4 linked regions of the Mus musculus genome follow. The protein of the gene in region 1 interacts with the protein of each later gene in a pairwise test. Links are inferred from orthologs where the notes say so. Each region holds a gene or a part of one and is shown in the gene's direction. Other genes may lie near its edges. The genes, in order: Usp25, Tnks2, Syk and Rad23b.

Region 1 (5,736 bases):
TAAGACTAAATAATGAAACTCTGGGGAATTATTGTACTACCAAATTCCTGAAGTTAAAGTTGAATATCTGGCAATAGATTTAAAAAAAAACCATTGTAATAGTTTTTTCACATTAATTTTTAACTTTTTAAAAGCAGTGGTCCTGAAGATCAAATGTGTAGCTATGTGCTTCCATGCTTACTACTAGTGAGCAGTATCTCAAATCTCAGGTAATTTTTGTACTTTTGAATGGAAGAAAATGACCTTGTAAAACTCTCTCCCCTGTGGAGAATCACAAAGCTACTCTGTGAATGAGAAGTTACAGCGCTGAGGTCTCTAACTGTGGAAACGTAGCTCTGAGGTCCATTCTCAGACACGTGCTCTCCGGGTCTGTGTTCTCATAAACAGCATGTGCTCTGGAATTCTTGCAGTATCCATAAAATTCCTCACCTCCAATCATTTCACAACCTTTGTAGTCAAGGATTTAGGACCATGAATGAAGTCAAAATTTAAAATTTGTCAAACGAACATGACAAATACAAGGAAGGAATCACAAAAGAGGGTTGAAGACATCCCAAAGGAAGATTAGATGTGGTTATAAAGTACAAAGAGTTATTACAAGACTTTTTCCGAGTTATTATGATGATATAAGACCTGGTATTTCTTGGATTCTTTACCAAGCCTGCTTTTCTTGCCGTGGATTAAATTACAGTCTAACTTGTATGTGCACTGTATTATTGTATTTGTAACCCTGTGCTCATTAATCTACCCTCCCCTGGGTCTCGGTCTTACTCTGTCCCTAGTTTAGCTGGTGCAATTGAAGATATTTTACTTCCAGGTTTCTTACTTACTGTTAGGCTTTTCCTCCAATTCCGTTTACAGTAGACTATTCCACATACGGTAGTTAATCGTTTGTTTAATTTGGCAACAGGGATATTAGAATTATGCATCATCTAGGCAGTGATTCTTTCATAATGTTGTTTGCCTTATGTCTATTCATTTAGATTCTCTTCAGTAAATAAACCTTAAATCCCCAGTCTAGCAGTGACTGTCACACATTCCAGTGCATGAAATAAACACAGAATGTCAGTCCTGATGTATGTAACGAATAGTTGAGAAAAGTACAGTCCAGAAGGACTTCTAACAGCGTTCTGCTTATTTGACTTTTTTCTTCCAGCAGGTTCATGGCTTGTGAAATTCCTAGAAAGGCTTGGGTGACATAGGAAATAGCTGGAGTTCTGGGCCCGCCCAGGTTTTGGGACATTACAGGTATGGAAGGACGTTGATTGTTTTGGAGACCGTTAGACAGGAAGGTGATCTGGTATACCGTCCTATGGCTCTAGCCTCGACTGGGGGTCGGGGGGTCGCAATGTCAGAGTTTAGCAAGAGCCTTAAATGGTGCACAGTAACCTGCAGGATGGGCGGTTCTGGCCGTCCAGCCCGCGCGCTGAGAGGAGCTTAGACGGAGGGCGGGGCCCACCAGGGGGCGGGGCAGCAACACAGCCCCTCCTTCCGCTCCCGCGGGTCACAATGTAGGGTTAGGACGGGTGGGGCGGGGCAGAGCGGGGGCGGGGCAGGAGGGCGGGGCGGGGGCGGTGACCGCGGCGAGGGAGGGGCTGGAGGCGGAGTCGCGGCGGCCGGAGGACAGCGCCATTCCGGGTGGCCGCTCCCTCCGTCCGCTTGCCGCCGGCCCGCAGTGGTCCCCCCGGAGCGGTCAGGCGAAGCTGAGTGCGAACGCGTGACGCGGCCCGGCTTGATCGTGCTCTCCGTCGCCTGCGCCCATGGGCCGGGCCGCCGCGGCTCAGCGGCGCTGAGGATCGGGGCGCAGAGGACCTGAGGCGGCCGCGGTGGCGCTCTCCGGTAGCGTCTCGCCGCTTGCCCGCGGGGCCCGCGTTCGCCCGCCGCCATCGCCTTCGCGCCCGGCTGGCGGGGGCGCCGTCCTCCCGGGCCGTCCGCGTCGCTGCCCCGGGCCCGGTAGAGCGCGACAGGCGGGGCCGCCGCGGGGGCCATGACCGTGGAGCAGAATGTGCTGCAGCAGAGCGCGGCGCAGAAGGTGAGGCGCGGGCTGGTCGCCGCTCCTCGACGGGCCGCGTGGCCTCCCGGCCGGCCGGGCCACTCCGGGAGCGTCGCGCTCGGTCCCGCGGGGCTGCGTGCGGAGCGGGGTGTGCAGTAGTGAGAGGCTTCGCGTCCACTCCCTTCTGCGGATTGCTCTCCCAGAACCGACGGCGCCGCGTCCCCAGAGTGACCCCCGCATTCCTCCAGTACTCACTCTGCCAGGCTTTGTAATTAAACTTTCTTCTCCTTCGCTTCCTTTTCCAGTCCCTTTTCTTCTGCAAGAATGTCACTTGTCACCCCTTTTGGACAGTTTCTCTTTCGGAGGTCTTATTGTGCCAGGCCTGCTGTTCTGGGGAAAAAAAAACCGGACCTCCCCAAAACGAATTACCTGTCTTCCAGGGCAGGTACATCGCATCGACCCAGGGTGGAATCTGTACAAGTAGAGTGTTTGGTTGGTTATTCTTTCTTTTCTTTATTTTATTCTCTCTTGGATCTAGAAAGTATCTCGCGCGTAAGGAGACCTTTATGGCTGTTACTCAAATCTTTTGTCCCCTAAGTTTGACCTTGCTCTCTTGTTCGTTCTTTACTCTAGCATCAGTTTCACGCAGAGTTAGGGGGGTCATCACATATTGTTTCTCGAACAGTATCTTGCTAGTTCTAGGTTTTACTTTAAGAATCTTTAAAAGCTCCAGCATAGCTTGCTCCATGTCCTGAAGAGCAGACGGTCATTACTTGTTCTGCCCTCCCCCCTCCCCCCTTATTGGTGTGAAAAGCATTTTGAGCACCGGGGAAATGTTGGCTTAGTTGAATTCTAATTGTAGGAGCAATTAGGTATACAGTGAACAGCCAGAGCCTCCTTTGGCTCATCGGTGTGAGTAATGGATGCCACACCCTGCTGTAGTTTTGACACTAGGTACTTGCTGTAAAGCCTACCTGTGCTTGTCTTTAAAGTGAGGCCTGTTGTACTAAAAAATAGACCAATACCTTCAAACAGCCCCCCCCCCCCGTTTTTTTCTTTTTGTCATTAAAATAGTTTTAGCATTTTATGTTCCTTGAGATAACCAAAGATGTCAGAGAATGTTGGAAAGTAGGGATAGTGCATTGTTATTTTAGACACTTTGGTTAAAGTTGGTTTTGGAGCCTATTTTAGTCTATGCTTCTTGCACATTGAGACGATTATGGTGAACTGTGATGTAGTTTGTAATGTGGCAGAAGAATTCAAGACTGAATAACAATAACGAAGAAAACAGTTGGCCTCCCAATTCTGTATGTTGTTCCTAGAACACTATAATCTTTAGATGTTGATGTTGAATGTGTGCTGTAGTTTTGGTTGGAAGGTCATGGGATCTTTGGCATGTTAAGCAATAGGCTCAGTAGCATTTTCTTTATACTCATTTTGCATTTTAAAACGTCTTTATCTCAAAGTGGGAAAAGTTGCTGTCTTTTTTGCTTCTCTTAAACTTCAAGATTGCAAGGACTTTATGGGTTTTGTCTTTCGTTTTGACTAAACCACTTCTTTGCATAGTCAGATAACTACCTTGATGGCTCAGAACTGTATACATAAGTCTGTAGAATCAAGAATCAAATTACTGAAAGTTAACTTTGTTTTCTAGTCCAATATTCATGCTTAATAAGCCTCCTCTCCCCTAAGAGAATATTCTCTAATTCAAAATATTAACATTGTGATGCTGTTTTTAGCATGTGTTGAGTATGTTAAATCATTTCACTGATAATTGGTGAATGCTTTTAGAGCAACATCATATATTTTTGTACACCCAGAATATTTACTTTTAATGGTGTTGGGGACTGAACCTAGGGCCTCATCATGCTAGCCAAGAACTCTACCAACTGAACTACATTTGTAGTTTTTTAAATGTGTTCCTTTGCCTTGTTAATACACTGTTATTTTGTGACCAGTATTAGAACAGGGCCAAACAGTATGGTTTTAAATTCTTTTGAAACAATGTAACTCAAAGTTGAAGTTTTAAAATGACGCTAGAAACTAGGGCTAGGACTTTGCCTTAAGAAGTAGGAAGTGAACTCTATACTTAAGAAACAAAAGTGAAACTAATTTCACTTAGAAGCTTCAAAGACTGTCAGGGAAAGGAAGGGCTATCAGGAGCAGGCTGCTGTGTAGATAGAATTTTTGCAGTTTTCTTTTCTTTTCTTTTTTTTTTCTCCTCTCTAAAAAGTGTGCAGATCTGTTGACAAATTTTAAGTAAATGGCCATTATAGTTGTTGAAATGATTTTCTGTTTTCAAGATTTTTCTTCCTTTTTATTGTAAAGAGCTGTAAGATTAGTATCTTTTTAAAGCAACAGTACACAAAACTTTGTGTTTCTTTTCTTTCTTTTTTCTTTTTTCTTTTCTTTTCTTTTCTTTTTTTTTAAATCTAAGTAAGGTGCAACAATGTAATTCGAAGGGGCAGTGTCTTCCCTTCCTGTAGTCTCTGCTTAATTCCTGAAGTTTGCCAAACCAGGAGTTAGGAAAAGTTGGAAACCTGCAGAGAGAGCGTTTGAGAGGTTTGAGATGTTATACGAGAGGGTTTGGCAATGTGTGGAGTACAGGTAAACTTGCGGTTATTGTTTTCTTGGCCCTCTATCTTCATCCTTTGTGCTTGCTATTTACCTTGCTGTCGGATCATTATATCTTAGAAGAAACTAGATACATACATTCACATTCCAAATCCCAGTTCATTAGGGAAGGATTGGTAACTTCCTCCCAGGAATCAAGGTGACTTAGAGTTGAGCCCTTCACCAGGAAAGCAGCCTCGTGAGTGAGTTACCTGTTCGGCTGCACAAGAGGACTTAGAACTGTTCTTGTCCCATAGTAGGACTCAGTCAATAGTTAATGTGAATGGTTGTTGGAGGGAAAGCAAGTAGAGTGACTCCTTAGATCCCTAAGTAAGAACTGACATTTGGTTCCTGAGAAACAAAGAGGGCTTGACAAGCATCCAGGAAAGTAAGTGGTAGAAGGAACGAGACAGGACGTGGATTAGATCAAAATTGCGCTCTGTGACCTTGGGCAACTCATGAAATGTCTCTAAGTCTTCTTAGAAAACTTTACACTTTGTAGACACGAGAAACTTCTTCAGATCTGAGTGTTTAACGGGTCTAAGTGGGCATTTATTATTATTTTTAAATGTAGTATGAGGATATATAGAGGCATAAATATCCTCTTCAATTGAAAAGAGTCAAGACAACAGATTATTCAAAAAGTGCTATCATTGTTTGCTCTGTGTATAAATACAAAAACAGTAGTCAGAAAAAAAAATCTTATTAGTTTTGCCATAAGTATCCAGGTATGTCCATCACTGAGCAAGCTGGGGCAGAAATGTTCTCATTTTAGGCCAGCTGGCTACATAGCAAGTTAAACTGTAGTAGTCTTGAGAGGAGTAGGGGAGAGGGAGAAGGAGGAGGGGAAAAGGAAAAAAAGATATTTATAATTTTTTATAATGGTTACCAATCATATTTTCTAGACACACCATGCCACAATTCAAAAGCAGTAAAACAGTTCCCTAAAAAAATACTGCCTTGGGGGCCAAAGAGCTAGGCCAGCCACTAAAATGTCCTTTGCCCAAACATGAGAACCTGTGTTTGGTCTCCAGCACCCATGTAAGAAGCAGACATAGCAGCACCCATTTGGAAAGATGGAGTGAGCATCACGTCCAGTGAGAGTCTCCAAGTCTACGGGAGAAAGTGAC
Region 2 (5,396 bases), on another chromosome or scaffold:
TTTCTCTAGTAATCAAGTGTTTTAAAAACAAGTTAGGCTGGGCTGTGGTGTTGTACGCCTTTAATCCCAGCACTTGGGAGGCAGAGGCAGACAGATTTCTGAGTTCAAGGCCAGCCTGGTCTACAGAGTGAGTTCCAGGACAGCCAGGGCTACACAGAGAAACCCTGTCTCGAAAAAGAAAAAAAGAAAAAAACAAAAACAGTTAGGGTTGAGGAGATAGATCAGTGAGTAAGTGATGCTGTATGATGTTGTTTAGATACACATATTGGGAGGAAATACATAAGCAGAAATCACTAAATAAAAAATTATAAAAATTGGGAATATATTTGGCAAGTCGATGAAATGAAGAAAAATGAGACAATCATAGTAGTAAGGTTCTAATCCTTAGGTATATTCATGAATAGTTATTTAGTAATAGGGATCAATTTAAATTTACACTAAGTAGTCTAAGAACATAATGGAATAAACATATAAGAAGGTACATTTACTAAAATGCTCAAGAAGTGTCCCTGCTTTTCTCCCACAGAAGTGAGTCAACGCTCCCTAACAAAAACTGGATTTCCTGAAAAACAGGTTAAGTAATTCACAGGGGAAATGCTTGTCAGCGTGCCAAAAGTCAGCACTTTCTTGCAAGCAAAATCTCTGTATTCCTTTCTTTCGGGTTCCTGAAACAAGATGTCACTACTACCTTAAACACAGCTAACATTCTTTCCAGGCTCCGCCCAACAGTTACCTGGCAACAGCCAGGTAGGCCTGGCTGTTTGTCCCCCTTCTCTCTCAGACTCTTCTCCTAACCCCTTTCTCCCTCTCTCCCATCCCCCCTCCCCCGTCTCTCTCCACGTGTTCCTGGCCGGCCTCTCTTCTTTTTCTCTCTTCCTCTGTCCTTCTCTGCCTCTACTCTCTTCTCTACTCCCCTTCCCATGCCCTAAATAAACTCGATTCTACACTACACCCGTATGGCTGGTACCTCAGGGGTAAGAAAGGGATGTTTCAGCATGGGCCTGCCCAGGAATCCTTCCCACCTTACCAGACCTGGCTCTACAAAACACATCCTTGTTGTTGTTGTTTTTTTTTTTTTAATAAAACACAATAAACACGAAAATGAATTGTGCACTTGTATTCTTTGATCAGAGAGAGAGAGAGAGAAACTTCGGAAAACTTTGATGTGTATGCTTTGTATCAGCACCTCGACCACATCCGGTGCAATGCTGATTTATGTATAGATCCTCGTCAGCGCTGAGCTAATAATTTACTATGGGAAGCGGAGCTAATCACAGCCACCCCACCCCCCAATTGTTGCTTTAGAATTGAGATGAACTTTCTTCGCTTTCTTGATTTATCTGGGGGCCGCTCATCCAAACTTCTCAGTAAGCGTAACGGATTCATTTCTGAGAAAACGCTTATAAGAAAAACAAAAGCAGATGCGGAGAGTTAAGGGAAGAGACACTGTAAAGAAGGCAGGAGGGGGAAGGGGTGAGAAATCTCCCAGGGGGAAGGTACGGAAGCAACACTGCAGAGATTTTCACGCTAAAACTTGCACAAGAAAATGCATAATCAGAACAAAACTTCCCAAGATTCGTCTTCGGTGTCTGAGCAATGAAACTCGTCTCGAGAAGTGTAGGCTTTAATAAAAGAAAAGGCAGCAAGACCTCTCGTTTTTAGCAGAGGCTCTGTAAAGATGGCGGTGGGCCGAAGCCCCTTCTCTTTCCGCAGCCAAAGGCTCTCCCTGCACATTTCCCACAAACCCCTCCGCGCGGCCCCGCTTGCCCAAACTGGCCCGGCCGGAGAGCAGCCACTGCGCACGCGCGAGCCGACGTCACGCGCGCTCCCAGGACCCGACCGAGCTGGCAGGAGTGGTCTCGGCCGCTTCCGCCGTCGCGTCGCTTCGGGGCTCGGCGAGCGGGTTCGCGCTGCCTCCACCGCGGTGGGGCAGCCGGGGCTCACGGAGCCGAGCCGGGGGCGCGCGGCGACGCGGCCATGGGACCGTGCCGACTCTGGTGACAGCGGGGAGCGGAGCGGCCCGGGCCCTGAGCGCGTCTCCTGCGGGGGGCCTCGCCCTCCTGCTCGCGGGGCCCGGGCTCCTGCTGCCTTTGCTGGCGCTGCTGCTGGCGGCGGCGGCGGCGGCCCGGATCATGTCTGGCCGCCGCTGCGCCGGCGGGGGCGCGGCCTGCGCGAGCGCCGGGGCCGAGGCCGTGGAGCCGTCCGCCCGCGAGCTGTTCGAGGCTTGCCGCAACGGGGACGTGGAGCGAGTCAAGAGGCTGGTGACGCCCGAGAAGGTGAACAGCCGCGACACGGCGGGCAGGAAGTCCACCCCGCTCCACTTCGCCGCAGGTAAACGCGGGCCCCGCGGCGCCTCCCGCACGCCCCACCTGCAGGCTCGGGCTTGCAGGCCGCAAGCCGCGCGGCGCTGCCCTGTCTCCGACCTTTCCCCAGGACTCTCACCCTGGCCGCCCGCCCTCCTCTCTCGGGGCTCGTGATGAGGGTGGGGTGAGCGTGCTCTCGGGAAGTTGTTTTTGAGGTTATGGGGTTTTTTGTTTGTTTGTTTGTTTGTTTGTGTGCTGGGAGGGGGGAAGCTTTGTTTTGTTTTACTGTATCAACAATACCTGCCCCGACTTCCGGTCTTATTACCCCGGAGGGCCTCTGCACACAAGAAAGGCTTAGTAGACCTTGTGATTTGAAAGAGTAATTATCTCCAAAAAATGGACCCATGTTTGCAAGTTTCATCGACACTCTTAGTAACCCCTTAAGTTCTAGCGGCCGTCATAAACTGAAATTTTAATTTAGGAGTTATTTTATTAGCTATTGGCTCATTAGAGTTAATTGGATTAGGTTTCTGGAGAGACTAAAACCGGAAATGGGCATGTTTGGGAGACCTGAGATCTACTTAGGTTGTGTGTGGGTGGCCTCTGCCTTACTCCCGCACAAGTCGGGATGGAAAGTGAGCTGAGAGACAAGATAGGACACGCACTTGAGCTTGGATCTAGGATTTTGAGTCATCCTGAGATTTATTGTAGATAGTTTGGAGTTACTTTTAACTACTGGGTTCTCTTTGTGGTACCAGCGTGTTGAAGTTTGCTTGTTGAGGTATTTATTTGAAAAGGCCAGGGATGGGAACCAACTTAATGATTATTCATGTTAAGGACAGTTTGTAACTTTTTAACCTCATAATCAAATAAGATCCTCTTAGCCTGGTAACATTTGATACAGTGTGCATCAGAATTGTTTAGCAGTTCTTTATATTTAAAAAAAAATTTTAGTTTCTTGTGTTCCTTAGGGGCAAAAATGGTAGACAAAAGAGTATAAAAAAAGATTTATTGTTTGTTTGTTTACAGGCATTGATTTTACAGTTCTTCCAATTGTAGGTCTGTTTGCTTTGACCTGTCCCTATTTTAAAATGTATGTACTGTCAGAAATCATGCCTCCTTAATTGATTGCCGGTTTGGGAGCAAGGGAAAAGTTTGGGAAAACCACAATTGGGCAGAAGAGAAATTTGCCTGTGGGCACTGAGAAGTGAGAGCATGAAGCCAAATCTCTGTTAGCAGTGTTGCCTTGCTTCAGCTAGTTTGAATTGTCTTGCTTGACCATTTAGCCAACCTATTTGGCAAATGGTCACAACCAAGTGCTAGATAATCCAAAGGGGTAATGTTACTTAGATTATGTACGCTTGATAAAAATAGCCAAGGTCGATCTTAGTTGCCACCTTTCAAGAATTTAATGTATTAGTGAGTTCATGTCTGAAAATAGTAGTATTTTGAGGTGCGGGTTGGGGACTTATGGTGTGACCTTGTTGCTCCCACACCATCCCACCCTCAGCTCTGCTCCAGTATGCCCCTCCCCCACCCACACGGATGGAATATAAGACCTTGCACATGCCAGACAAGTGTTCTGGCCTCTGAATGAGGTAGATTAGACCCTACCCCTGCCTCAACATATTAAGGAATATTTTACATGTATTTTATATTGTTTCTCCAGATTGAAATGGGAATTTAAATATTATAGAGAGCAATTCACCACTCAAAATTCACCTATATTGCCAGTTGTAGGTTGTAAAATTAAGAAGTTAAAATGTAAAAAGGAAAACATAAAATAATTACTAAAGATACTAGGGAGATGGCTCAGTGGATAAAGTACTTGCTTGCCTTGCAAACAGGAGGGCCTGAGTTGAGATCCCTAGCACCCACGTAAAAAGGCAGTTCTGTTGATGCACACTTATAGCCCCACACTAGGAGGTGGAGACAGAAGGATCCGTGGGACTTACTTGAAAAGCCATGAGCCCCAGGGTCAGTGCAGTGACCCTGTCTCAAAAATTAGATGGAGGAGAGCCATCGATGAAGATGCCTGCCCTGCCACCCACTCACACGCGCAGATACACCTAGCCTACCATATACACAGAAAAATAATCACTAAAGAATTGATATTAAGTCACAGTTTTAAGAGTCTTACATTTAAACCCTGCATAAAAAAATAAGGAGCTTTAAAAAAAATGGCTTTGTGAATTTTAAAATCCAAATTATTAGATTAATGTGGCACTAATCACTAATGAATTTATTCCTTTTCTGGATATGGAACTAGAACCTTGCTTGGCCCTACTAGACATATGTGCACCTGCTGAGCTATAGTCTCAATCAGCCCTGGTTTTTTTGTTTTTTGCTTTTTTTTAAAGATTTATTTATTTTCATTTATATGAGTACCCTGTAGCTATCTTCAGACACACACCAGAAAAGTGCATTGGATCCCATTACAGATGGTTGTGAGCCACCCTGTGGTTGCTGGGATTTGAACTCAGGGACCTTCGGAAGAGCAGTCAGTGCACTTAACCCCTGAGCCATATTGCCAGCCCTGTTTATTTTTAAGTAAAGTTGCTCACTAGCATTTTCTTTGTGAGTTACCATTTGTGTTTATGCAAGCATACTTTTGGATCCTCCTCTGCAGGTGGTGGTACTTGATAATTGCCTGACCAAGCAGTTACTTGTGTTTTTATTTTATAGAGAATTCATTCTTTTAGAGAAAAAAAAAAAAAAAAAAAAAGAGCCCAGCAGTGGTGGCGCAGGCCTTTAATCCCAGCACTTGGGAGGCAGAGACAGGCGGATTTCTGAGTTCGAGGCCAGCCTGGTCTACAAAGTGAGTTCCAGGACAGCCAGGGCTACACAGAGAAACCCTATCTCGGGGAAAAAAAAAGAGTTAGTGCTGAGAAAAAAAATTATTAAAATAGCCAGTTAAAGTTTAGAGGTTTAATTAAGGAGTCTAGAGGTTTGTCAGTAGGAATAAGATATATTCATGCTACAGAGAAGGAAAAAGGGTTTTGTATTTCCATCCTGGCCAAAGAAAAAATTAAAAATCAACCTTAATTTAGTTAATCAGTTGTCACTCCTTAGAGGAATTAAGTTCCATTAGTG
Region 3 (4,943 bases), on another chromosome or scaffold:
GTGTGCAGGTACTCCTGACACAGCACATATATAGAGGCCAAGGGACAACCCTTGGATGTCACCTCTTACCTTTCACCTTGTTTCAAACCGCCTCTGGGGATTCACTGCTGGCCCCACGAATCTCCATAGATTCTCCCCTAGAAGCCCTGGGGTTGCAGACATCTGCTATCCAACTTTCTGTGGGTTCTGGGGATCTGAACTCTTAACCTCACTCTTGCATGCGCTTTTTACACTGGGTTATCTCCCCAGCCCATGGCCGTTTCTTGTTTGTTTTTTTTTTTTCGTTTGTTTGTTTGTTTGTTTTTGGGTTGCTTTGTTTTGTTTTTCTGAATGGCTTTAAGAGATTCTCATTGGGCAGCGGGTGTCAGCACCATTCCCCTCCACCCCCCTCCCCCCAACACACACACAATGTGACTACAGAGAAGAGGACCTCTAGGCAGTTTGGAAAGTTTCTCACAAGTTACAATCTGTGTCACAGAGTTGTGAAAACCGTGGCTGTGAAAATCCTGAAGAACGAGGCCAACGACCCGGCTTTGAAGGACGAGCTGCTGGCAGAGGCGAACGTCATGCAGCAGCTGGACAACCCCTACATTGTGCGCATGATCGGAATCTGCGAGGCGGAGTCCTGGATGCTGGTGATGGAGATGGCGGAGCTGGGGCCGCTCAACAAGTACCTGCAGCAGAACAGGTGACCTGGGGCATGCGAGTTGTGTGCGGTGCCACCCCGCACATGCCCTGTCCCCCGAGTTTGGGCTGTGCCGGGGCCCCGCCCCCACACACGCCCTGTCCCCCGAGTTTGGGCTGTGCCGGGCCTGATTTCTAGGGGAAGCTCTCTCTCCCTCTCCTCTCTGTGTCTCTGAGTCTCTGTCTCTCTGTCTCTCTTCGTGTCTCTCTCTCTCTCTCTCTCTCTCTCTCTGTGTGTGTGTGTGTGTGTGTGTGTGTACATCTTTGAGGGTGTGCACCTGTGTGGATGTGTTTATGTGGAAGCCAGAGGTCAATATTGGAGATCACCCTCTCTCCTCTCTCAGTCTCCAACTTAATTTTTTTTTTTTATTTATGTGAATGTTGGTGTGAGTGTGTGCCACACAACGCAGATACTTATGGAGGCTAGAGGAGCTGGTCAGATCCCTCGGAGCTGGGCTTACAGCACTTGTGAGCCTCCCAACATAAGTGCTGGGAACCAAACTCCGGTCCTCTGCAAGAACAGTACGTGTAGCCAGGCAGTGGTGACACAGGCCTTTAATCCTAGCACTTAGGAGGCAGAGGCAGGTGGATTTCTGAGTTTGAGGCCAGCCTGGTCTACAAAGTGAGTTCCAGGACAGCCAGGACTACACAGAGAAACCCTGTCTCGAAAAAAAACCAAAAAGGAGAAAAAAAAAAGAAAGAAAAAAGAAGAAAAGAAAAGAAAAAAGAACAGAAGGCGTTCTTAACCACTGAACTATCTCGTTAGCTCTCCGCCTTATTTCATGAGACAAGGAACTATCTCATTAGCTCTCCGCCTTATTTCGTGAGACAAGGAACTATCTTGTTAGCTCTCTGCCTTATTTCGTGAGACAAGGTCTCTCACTAACACCGGAGCTCACCAATTCAGCCAAACAGAGCCCCAGGGATTACAGGTTCTCACTGGCATACCTGGCTTTTATATGAGCACTGTGGGTCCCAACTCAGGCTTCATCCCTATAAGTCAAACAGTTTACCAACTAAGGCACCTTCCTAGCCCTGTCCAGTGATAAAATCCTCAATGTGTGTGGACAGGGCATTGCCCACCAGCAGGCAGAACATTCTTCTTTGGTAAACACCTGGAACAAACATGTTCCTGGGGCACCATCTGTGTCTCGTCTGGCCGACCTCTTGAGTGCCTGCATCTGAAGAGGCAGCAGCAGTTCGTTGATTCTGGTCCAGACATAGGTGCTCTAATGCTGCGGTCAACATAGAGTAACTCCCCGATTCCTCTGAGCCGGGGTTCCTTCTGTACAGCTTTTCGTCATCATTTCCAACATGGATGTGTGAGTTTGAGCATGTGCAGCAGGTGGAGGCCAAAGGTCAAGCCAAACCCATGCCCATCCCTTAGAATACCATCTGCTTCCTCTGAGACAGAGGTCCCTCATGGGCCAGAGCTCATCAGTTTAGCTAGACTTTCTGGGCAGGGAACACCAAGAATCCACCCGTTTCACTTACCCGGCTTTGGGATTACAAGTGCAGGCCGCCCGCCATGTTTGGCTTTTATTTCACGAGGGCGCCAGGCATCAAACTCAAGTCCTCTTGCTTGCAGGATGAGCGCTTTCCTAAAAAGCTTTCTCCATAGCGCTATGAATTTTTGTCCATCTCAAAGCATGCCTGAAAATGAAGCACACTCATCATATAGTGTGTGTATGTGTATATGTGTATGCACATGTGTGTATGTGTATATGTGTATGCACATGTACATGGGTATGCATGCCCATGCATACGTGCAGAGGCCAGGAGAGGCCACTGTGTGTGTCCTTCTCAATCACTCTCTGCTTTATTCCCTCGAAACACAGCCAGGTGTGGTAGCACAGACCCTTAATCTCAACACCAAAGAGGCCGAGGTTGGTGGCTCTCTGTGAGTTTGAGGCCAGTCTGATCGACACAGTTTATTCCAGGCTAGTTGGGGCTACAGAGGGAGACCTTGTCAAAAACAAACAAACAAACAAACAAAAAAGGTTCTCCCACAAACAGAAAGTCCTGCCTGTTTGGTTTGGCGTGGTTTGATTTGGTGTGGTTTTGGTTATTCTGATAGCCAGCAAGCCTCCGCCTCTTCCTGTCCCCATCCCCTCCCAGTGCTGAGATTACAGCACAGGTGACCACACTCAACTTTCTCCCATCACTTCTGGGGATCGAAACTTAGGTCCTCAGGTTGTGCACGCAGCAACTGTCCTCGCCCTGAGTCATCTTCCCAGCCTGTCCTGTTGTCGACAAAGAAGGAACGAGTGGACCGACCCTTCTTCCATGTACTCGGGGGACACGGCTGTGTGTTTGGAATGGCCGCCGTCCACTCTTGGTAATGATGTCGTGTGATTCTAGGCACATTAAGGATAAGAACATCATAGAGCTGGTTCACCAGGTTTCCATGGGGATGAAGTATTTGGAAGAGAGCAACTTTGTGCACAGAGATCTGGCTGCGCGGAACGTGCTTCTGGTCACACAGCACTATGCCAAGATCAGCGATTTCGGTCTTTCCAAAGCCCTGCGTGCTGATGAAAACTACTACAAGGTAGGAGCGCTCGGTGCAAGCTCACAGAACAGGGAGAGGAAACAGCTCTGTGCAGGCTCACGGAGCAGGCTGAGAGCTCAGTACAGGCTCACAGAGCAGCTGAGGGGACAGCTTCCATGCATAGTTAAGGTTGCAGGTTATAAAGATATAGAAAGATAAATGTGTGCTCTCTGTATTTTACTATGGTAGAAATCTCACTAGTAACCTTGGAGAAAAGTATTCTTAAGATCGATTCTGTCCATCAAGAAACACAAACCAAAAATACTGTAATGTTTCTCAACTGGAATCTTTTTCAGACTAGGATCTTATGTTGAGTTTTTTGGTGGTGGTGGTGGTTTTTTTTTTTTTTTTTTTCGTTTTACATTTACTTATCTTGCTCTGTGTATGGAGTCATGTGTGCCGTAGTGTTCTAATAGAGAGCAGAGGACAACTTACAGAAGTTGATTCTCTCCATCTACCATGCATATCGGAGGAATCGAACTCTGATCTTCGGATTCGGCAGCAGGCACCTTACCCATTGAGCCATCTTGCTGGCCTCTAAATGCTTGCGTCAACTTGCTTTGAAACATACAAATCAAACAAATTGATTTTTCTTTTCTTAGGCAGGGTTTCATGGAGCCCAGGTTGGCATCTGTCTCCTGAGTGCTGGGGTTATAAGTATTCACCACCACGATTGGGTTACTCAGTCTACCTAATACTATGACCCTTTAACACAGTTCCTCGTGTTGTGGTGACCCCCAACCTAAAATCTTTCATCGCTACTTCATAACTGTAATTTCGCGACTGATATGCAGGGTGTCTGATATGTGACCCCCAAAAGGGTCACTACATAGGCTGAGAACTACTGGGGGCTTTATGCGTGTTAAAGGAAACCACTGCTAACTGAGCCACTTCCTTGGCCCCAAAACTGGTGGATCCTTGAGAGATTTTTCCGAGTCCTTTTCACTGAATTGACACTGTGACTTTCAGCAGAGGCTTTTTCCTACCCCACTCCTTAAACCCAGCTCCTTTGTGCATCGGGGTGTGCACACCTGACTTAACGCATCACAGAGTGTCCACTCTGCTTCCAGGCCCAGACCCACGGGAAGTGGCCCGTGAAGTGGTACGCCCCCGAATGCATCAACTACTACAAGTTCTCCAGTAAGAGTGACGTCTGGAGCTTCGGAGTCCTGATGTGGGAAGCGTTCTCCTATGGGCAGAAGCCCTACAGAGTGAGCCATGCTTAGCTGTGTGTTTTGTGTCTCAGCCTCTTGGACTTAAGAAACCATCCCTCAGTATGGGGTTATTGCCACAAGAACCTGAACCCCTGGAATCTGAGGACACCCTGGGGTCTCCCATCACCTTCTAACAGTGGGCGGCTAGTGCAACCTAACTTACGCTTGTACTCACTTGAGAATGACATGTGATACTGAGTGAATGCATTCTCACTGTGCTACACACATACGTGCACCAGGCACAGGCCATCCTTCCTGAGAGTTAAGTGGAAATGGTGATACGGATGGATGACATCAAGTATTTTAGTTGTAAGCGTGTGTGTTCTCATGTGTGTGCACACCTGTGTATGTGCAAACACATTGTGTGTGTGTGTGTGTGTGTGTGTGTGTGTGTGTGTGTGTGTAGCCCAGAGACCATCCTCAGGTGTCATTCCTCAGGGACTCTCCACTTTGCTTTTTGAGACAGTGTTTTCATTAGCCTAAGCTCACCCAAT
Region 4 (4,943 bases), on another chromosome or scaffold:
ATCTTGCTGACTGATACCAAGGAATCAGCAAGACTGTATGTTATTTGGAGACTTGGTAGAGCCTAGTTCCTTATGACTTCTAGAAGCTTTCAGGCCTTTTCTCCACCTGCCAAAAAAAACAACAGCAGAACTCTGGTCCTGCTTTTGTCGTTATTGTCTCTAACCCTGTTTCTGTCCCACTTTTAAGGACCCGGACCCTTGTTGATGACATTGGGTCTATCTGGAAGGTCACTTCCCTTTATCATACATATTTATAGGTTAGGTAGGTTCTGGGGGTTAGAACATGGACTTGGACTTCTTACATTGTTTATTGTCTAGCCTAGCCTAGCAGTCTATGGACCATAGACATTATGCAGTCAAGAACTATGCAGAGAATGTTTGTTGAATGTTCCTGTACTTTTCTTCCCCTTGTCCCCCACACACCGGTTTAGTGACAGGTCAGTCTTATGAGAATATGGTAACTGAGATCATGTCAATGGGCTATGAACGAGAACAAGTAATTGCAGCCCTGAGAGCCAGCTTCAACAACCCTGACAGAGCTGTGGAATATCTTCTAATGGTGAGAAGTGTGTTTTACTTGTCTCTTTCAGACTCTTTCAGAAAATTTAATAGATGAGTTAACAATCCAGTGGATAGCGTCATGCTAGAAAGTTCCCATCCAATGGTAACATTTTGTGTTGTAAGATGGAACCTTCTGGGAAAGATTCTGAAATGATTTATTTAGAGAATGATGTGAGGTGATTTATGAAGTGGTTTTTCTTTGGAGTGGTACCTTTCACACTAGTGAGGCTCTGCTGAAGGTGACTCTGTAATAACAGGCCTTAGATCTGTTAGGAATTACTTAGGGCAAAAGTTTAGTTATCCTCTGAGGAAGCAGCATGAACTTTTTCTGTTTGAGAATTTGATGGACATTCTGGACCCTGAATCTGCTAATAGTCTTGTAATTCCACGTGAACAATAGCTGTTTTGAGTGCTTTAGTGCAGCCCCCATTGGCCACTGCTTTTTCTTCTTTAAGTGAATTTGGCTTTGGTTTAATAGGAAATGAACTCATTACCATCTGTTAAAGTCTAAGAATTTGATGGATTTTTTTTTTTTTTTTTTGGTTTTTCGAGACAGGGTTTCTCTGTGTAGCCCTGGCTGTCCTGGAACTCACTTTGTAGACCAGACTGGCCTCAAACTCAGAAATCCACCTGCCTCTGCTTCCCAAGTGCTGGGATTAAAGGCATGCACCACCACGCCCAGCAAGAGTTTGATGGATTTTTAAATGGGTATAACTGCCATTTGTTTAAATCTTCTGCATCAAAGTAGAAACTCTGAGTGTACCTTTTAAATTGTAATAATTTCAAGATGTGCTTGAAACATAAGAAGAGCATCATTTGAAATGTAAACTATTTACATTACACACCATTTTGTCTATTTGTTTATTTTTAATGTGTGACATTTTCTAGGTGATACTTGTTTAGAAGCACTAGGTCAGTAGAGGAGACTTGGTTGCTTGTCCATCAGTTGCCTGATTCATGCAAACACAGTTCTTTGTGGAACTGTGACATTCACAGTGGAATGTCAGATTATGAAAACCTCTGCAGCAAAAGTCACCTGGAACTCATGGGCACTGAACACCTTACTTACTGATACTCTTAGAGTTTAAGTTGACATGGGTTGTAGCTGTTACTGGATAGTGCATCTGTCTGTCACTGGAAAATTCCGTTGACCAATGCTACCTTGTAATGCAAATGCTACAGTGCATTGTATCTGGGCCACTTGTAAGATTTCATAAGCAGGCTTCTATTGTACACAGACAATGTTCAATAAGCTACAGATGTTTTGCTGTTTCTAATTGTGTGTGTGTGTGTGTGTGTGGTGTGTAGGAGGGAGGGAGGAGAGGGAGAGAGATCTTAAAATTTGGAAATTGTGTTGGCAGGGAATCCCTGGAGATAGAGAAAGTCAGGCTGTGGTTGACCCTCCTCCTCAGGCTGTGAGTACTGGAACTCCTCAGTCTCCAGCAGTAGCTGCAGCTGCAGCAACCACGACAGCAACTACAACAACCACTTCTGGAGGTAAAGTGACAAATGACAAATGGTCTTGAGTTTTTAGTATAAGATTATTTAATACGAAATACTTCAGTGGTTAAGCTTCATTCCCAGAATGCTTGAATAAACCTTATGTTTTTTTTTCTTTACTCACAGTAAAGAGAGCCTCTGGCTTTTAGTGTACACCAGTGTTGTCAAAGCTACACTACTAGTTCACTCTTAGAAACGCCTAGTCACAGATTGAATTCGGTGTCCGTTTTATGTGGATGCCTCACCTTGCTAAGAAAGTATCATTTCAGGCATGGTGTAGAGGCACACTCCTTTAATCCTAGCATTGGGAAGCAAAGGCAGACACATATCTGAGTTTGAGGGAACATTCTCTACGCAGCAGAGTTCTCAAACAGCCAGGGTACATAGAGGGAGAGAGAGGCACTGTCTCAAAAAACGGTGGTGGTGGTGGAGGTGGTGGTGGTTGAGCTGCTAACTTCGAAAAAGCTGGGGTTTTTTGTTTTGAATTGATAGCTTCTTGCTCATTTTGGCAAACAGTTGGGACTCATGAGAAAGAGGAGGCGTTGTTCTGGCTCAGATTTTAGTATTTCCTATTCACCACCTACTAGGTAATTTTGGTCCCTGAGTCTCACTTATTACACATAATTATAGGACTGAATGTCCACAAACATGCTTATGTTTCTTATTTGTGAGCAACTGCAATAATATGACAACCTTTTATTTTGATATAGGACACCATTTTTTGTGTGGTGGCTCACAGGGCATTGTGGGTGGGCTAGCCTCTCAGTGTTCTATCCTTTGCTAGTATTAGTATAACTTGTCTAGAGCAAAGGTAGCAGGCACATTGGGGTTTGGAGAGTTTGTGACTTGCTTTCTCTATAACACTCGAAGGCAGGTCCTTTTCATATATAATGTTTTCTGTCCGAATGGTTTAGCTGCTTGCTGTTACATGTACTTATTGCTATTGTTTTGAAATGTGTGTATTTCAGGCCACCCCCTTGAATTTTTACGGAATCAGCCTCAGTTTCAACAGATGAGACAAATTATCCAGCAGAATCCTTCTTTGCTGCCAGCCTTGCTACAGCAGATAGGTCGGGAGAACCCTCAGCTGCTGCAGGTGACTGATCCATGTTAATTTGGAAAATGGGATTGGAATGTTTTACTTTGTACCACAGTTAAACCCATGGCCTGTGTTCTACGTAGGCATAGTGAAGAACGAATTGAGATAGAACGATTGATCAGCTTACATAGGTTAACTAATTTAGTTTGGGAAAGGCTTACTTCCTCTTCCAGATTCCCCAGGTACATTAATTAATGTATTGGAGAATCTGAGAGGGTGTTTAACTTTGGAAATTGCTTTTCATAAGATTGCTATGAGTGGAACATTGCCTCTTAGAAACTTACCTATGGGCATACTTCATGCTCAGACCAGAAAATAGTTGAGTTTTATACAGCACAGAATAGCCTATTAGTGTGGAAAATACAATATGTACATGAAGAGTAAGTTCTCTACTTAGGTCCATGGTAGCTTGCTTTCTTTTTTAGTTTTTTTTTTTTTTAAAGATGTATTTATTTATTATATGTAAGTACACTGTGGCTGTCTTCAGACACACCAGAAGAGGGCATCAGATCTTGTTACAGGTGGTTGTGAGCCACCATATGGTTGCTGGGATTTGAGCCATCTCACCAGCCCCCCTTTTTGTTTTTTTTTTTAAAGATAGATTTATTATATTTATATGAGTACACTGTAGCTGTGTTCAGACACACCAGAAGAAGGCATCATCAGATCCCATTACAGATGGTTGTGAGTCACCATGTGGTTGCTGGGAATTGAACTCAGGACCCCTGGAAGAGCAGTCAGTGCTCTTAACCATCTCTGAGCCATCTTTCCAGCCCCCATGGTAGCTTAGCTTAGCTTTGCTTTGCTTTCTTTCTTTCTTTTTCTTTTTCTTTTTTAAGATTTATTTATTTATTATATATACACTGTACGTGTACAGATGGTTGTGAGCCTTCATATGGTTGTTGGGAATTGAATTTAGTACCTCTGCTCGCTCTGGTCAGCCCTGCTTGCTCCAGTCTGGCCTAGTCAGGCCCGCTTACTCTGGCCCAAAGATGTATTTACTATTATAAATAAGTACACTGTAGCTGTCTCCAGACAGCACCAGAAGAGGGCGTCAGATCTCATTAAGGATGGTTGTGAGCCACTATGTGGTTGCTGGGATTTGAACCTGGGACCTTCGGAAGAGCAGTCAGTGTACTTACTCACTGAGCCATCACACTGCCCCCCCCCCCCCAGCTCTGTTTGTTTGTTTTTTTCTAGACAGGGTTTATCTGTGTAGCCCTGGCTGTCCTGGAACTCACTTTGTGTAGACCAGGCTGGCCTGGAACTCAGAAATCCGCCTGCCTCTGCCTCTGCCTCCCGAGTGCTGGGATTAAAGGCGTCTGCCAACCCCCCAACCCCCAGCTCTTTAATGTTGTTTTGGGAGTGGAGTATTTTTGGAAGAATTTGTATTTTCTCCATCATTTACCTTTCAGAACTGTTGTGTTTCTTATATTTATATTTTAAGTGATTTCTTAATATAAGAAATCACTTAAAACTAACTTTCTTTCTGACTCTTAGATAGAGCTGGTCTGGAATTGAATTTACTATATGACTCAGCCATGCCTAAGATGATCCTCTGCCTTCCCAGTGCTGGAATTAAAGTGTGACTCCCCGTGCCTGGCTTATCTTTTTCTTGTTTTTATTTAGGTTTGCTTTTTTTTCCACAGACAGTAATTATGTGTTATTTCTTCCATTTCTCCATCACTACAGCAAATTAGCCAACACCAGGAGCATTTTATTCAGATGCTGAATGAACCAGTTCAGGAAGCAGGCAGTCAAGGTGGAGGAGGTGGTGGCGGAG

Evidence for each region.
Region 2: the proteins of Usp25 (region 1) and Tnks2 interact in a two-hybrid assay, tested with the Homo sapiens proteins (2 studies listed by BioGRID and IntAct). The link is inferred for Mus musculus from reciprocal best matches to the Homo sapiens genes USP25 and TNKS2.
Region 3: the proteins of Usp25 (region 1) and Syk interact in binary tests that used the Homo sapiens proteins (3 or more experiments, as listed by UniProt). The link is inferred for Mus musculus from reciprocal best matches to the Homo sapiens genes USP25 and SYK.
Region 4: the proteins of Usp25 (region 1) and Rad23b interact in binary tests that used the Homo sapiens proteins (3 or more experiments, as listed by UniProt). The link is inferred for Mus musculus from reciprocal best matches to the Homo sapiens genes USP25 and RAD23B.

The regions. Positions count from the first base shown.
Region 1 is NC_000082.6:77,012,109-77,017,844, forward strand, and holds the start of Usp25 (ubiquitin carboxyl-terminal hydrolase 25), read left to right. Parts: upstream 1-1,960; 5' UTR 1,961-1,987; coding exon 1,988-2,032; intron 2,033-5,736. UniProt on the Homo sapiens protein: Deubiquitinating enzyme that hydrolyzes ubiquitin moieties conjugated to substrates and thus, functions in various biological processes including inflammation and immune response.
Region 2 is NC_000085.6:36,832,406-36,837,801, forward strand, and holds the start of Tnks2 (poly [ADP-ribose] polymerase tankyrase-2), read left to right. Parts: upstream 1-1,826; 5' UTR 1,827-2,132; coding exon 2,133-2,331; intron 2,332-5,396. UniProt on the Homo sapiens protein: Poly-ADP-ribosyltransferase involved in various processes such as Wnt signaling pathway, telomere length and vesicle trafficking.
Region 3 is NC_000079.6:52,637,560-52,642,502, forward strand, and holds part of Syk (tyrosine-protein kinase SYK), read left to right. Parts: intron 1-478; coding exon 479-688; intron 689-3,045; coding exon 3,046-3,235; intron 3,236-4,305; coding exon 4,306-4,446; intron 4,447-4,943. UniProt on the Homo sapiens protein: Non-receptor tyrosine kinase which mediates signal transduction downstream of a variety of transmembrane receptors including classical immunoreceptors like the B-cell receptor (BCR).
Region 4 is NC_000070.6:55,380,558-55,385,500, forward strand, and holds part of Rad23b (UV excision repair protein RAD23 homolog B), read left to right. Parts: intron 1-431; coding exon 432-559; intron 560-1,922; coding exon 1,923-2,058; intron 2,059-3,029; coding exon 3,030-3,157; intron 3,158-4,852; coding exon 4,853-4,943. UniProt on the Homo sapiens protein: Multiubiquitin chain receptor involved in modulation of proteasomal degradation. Binds to polyubiquitin chains.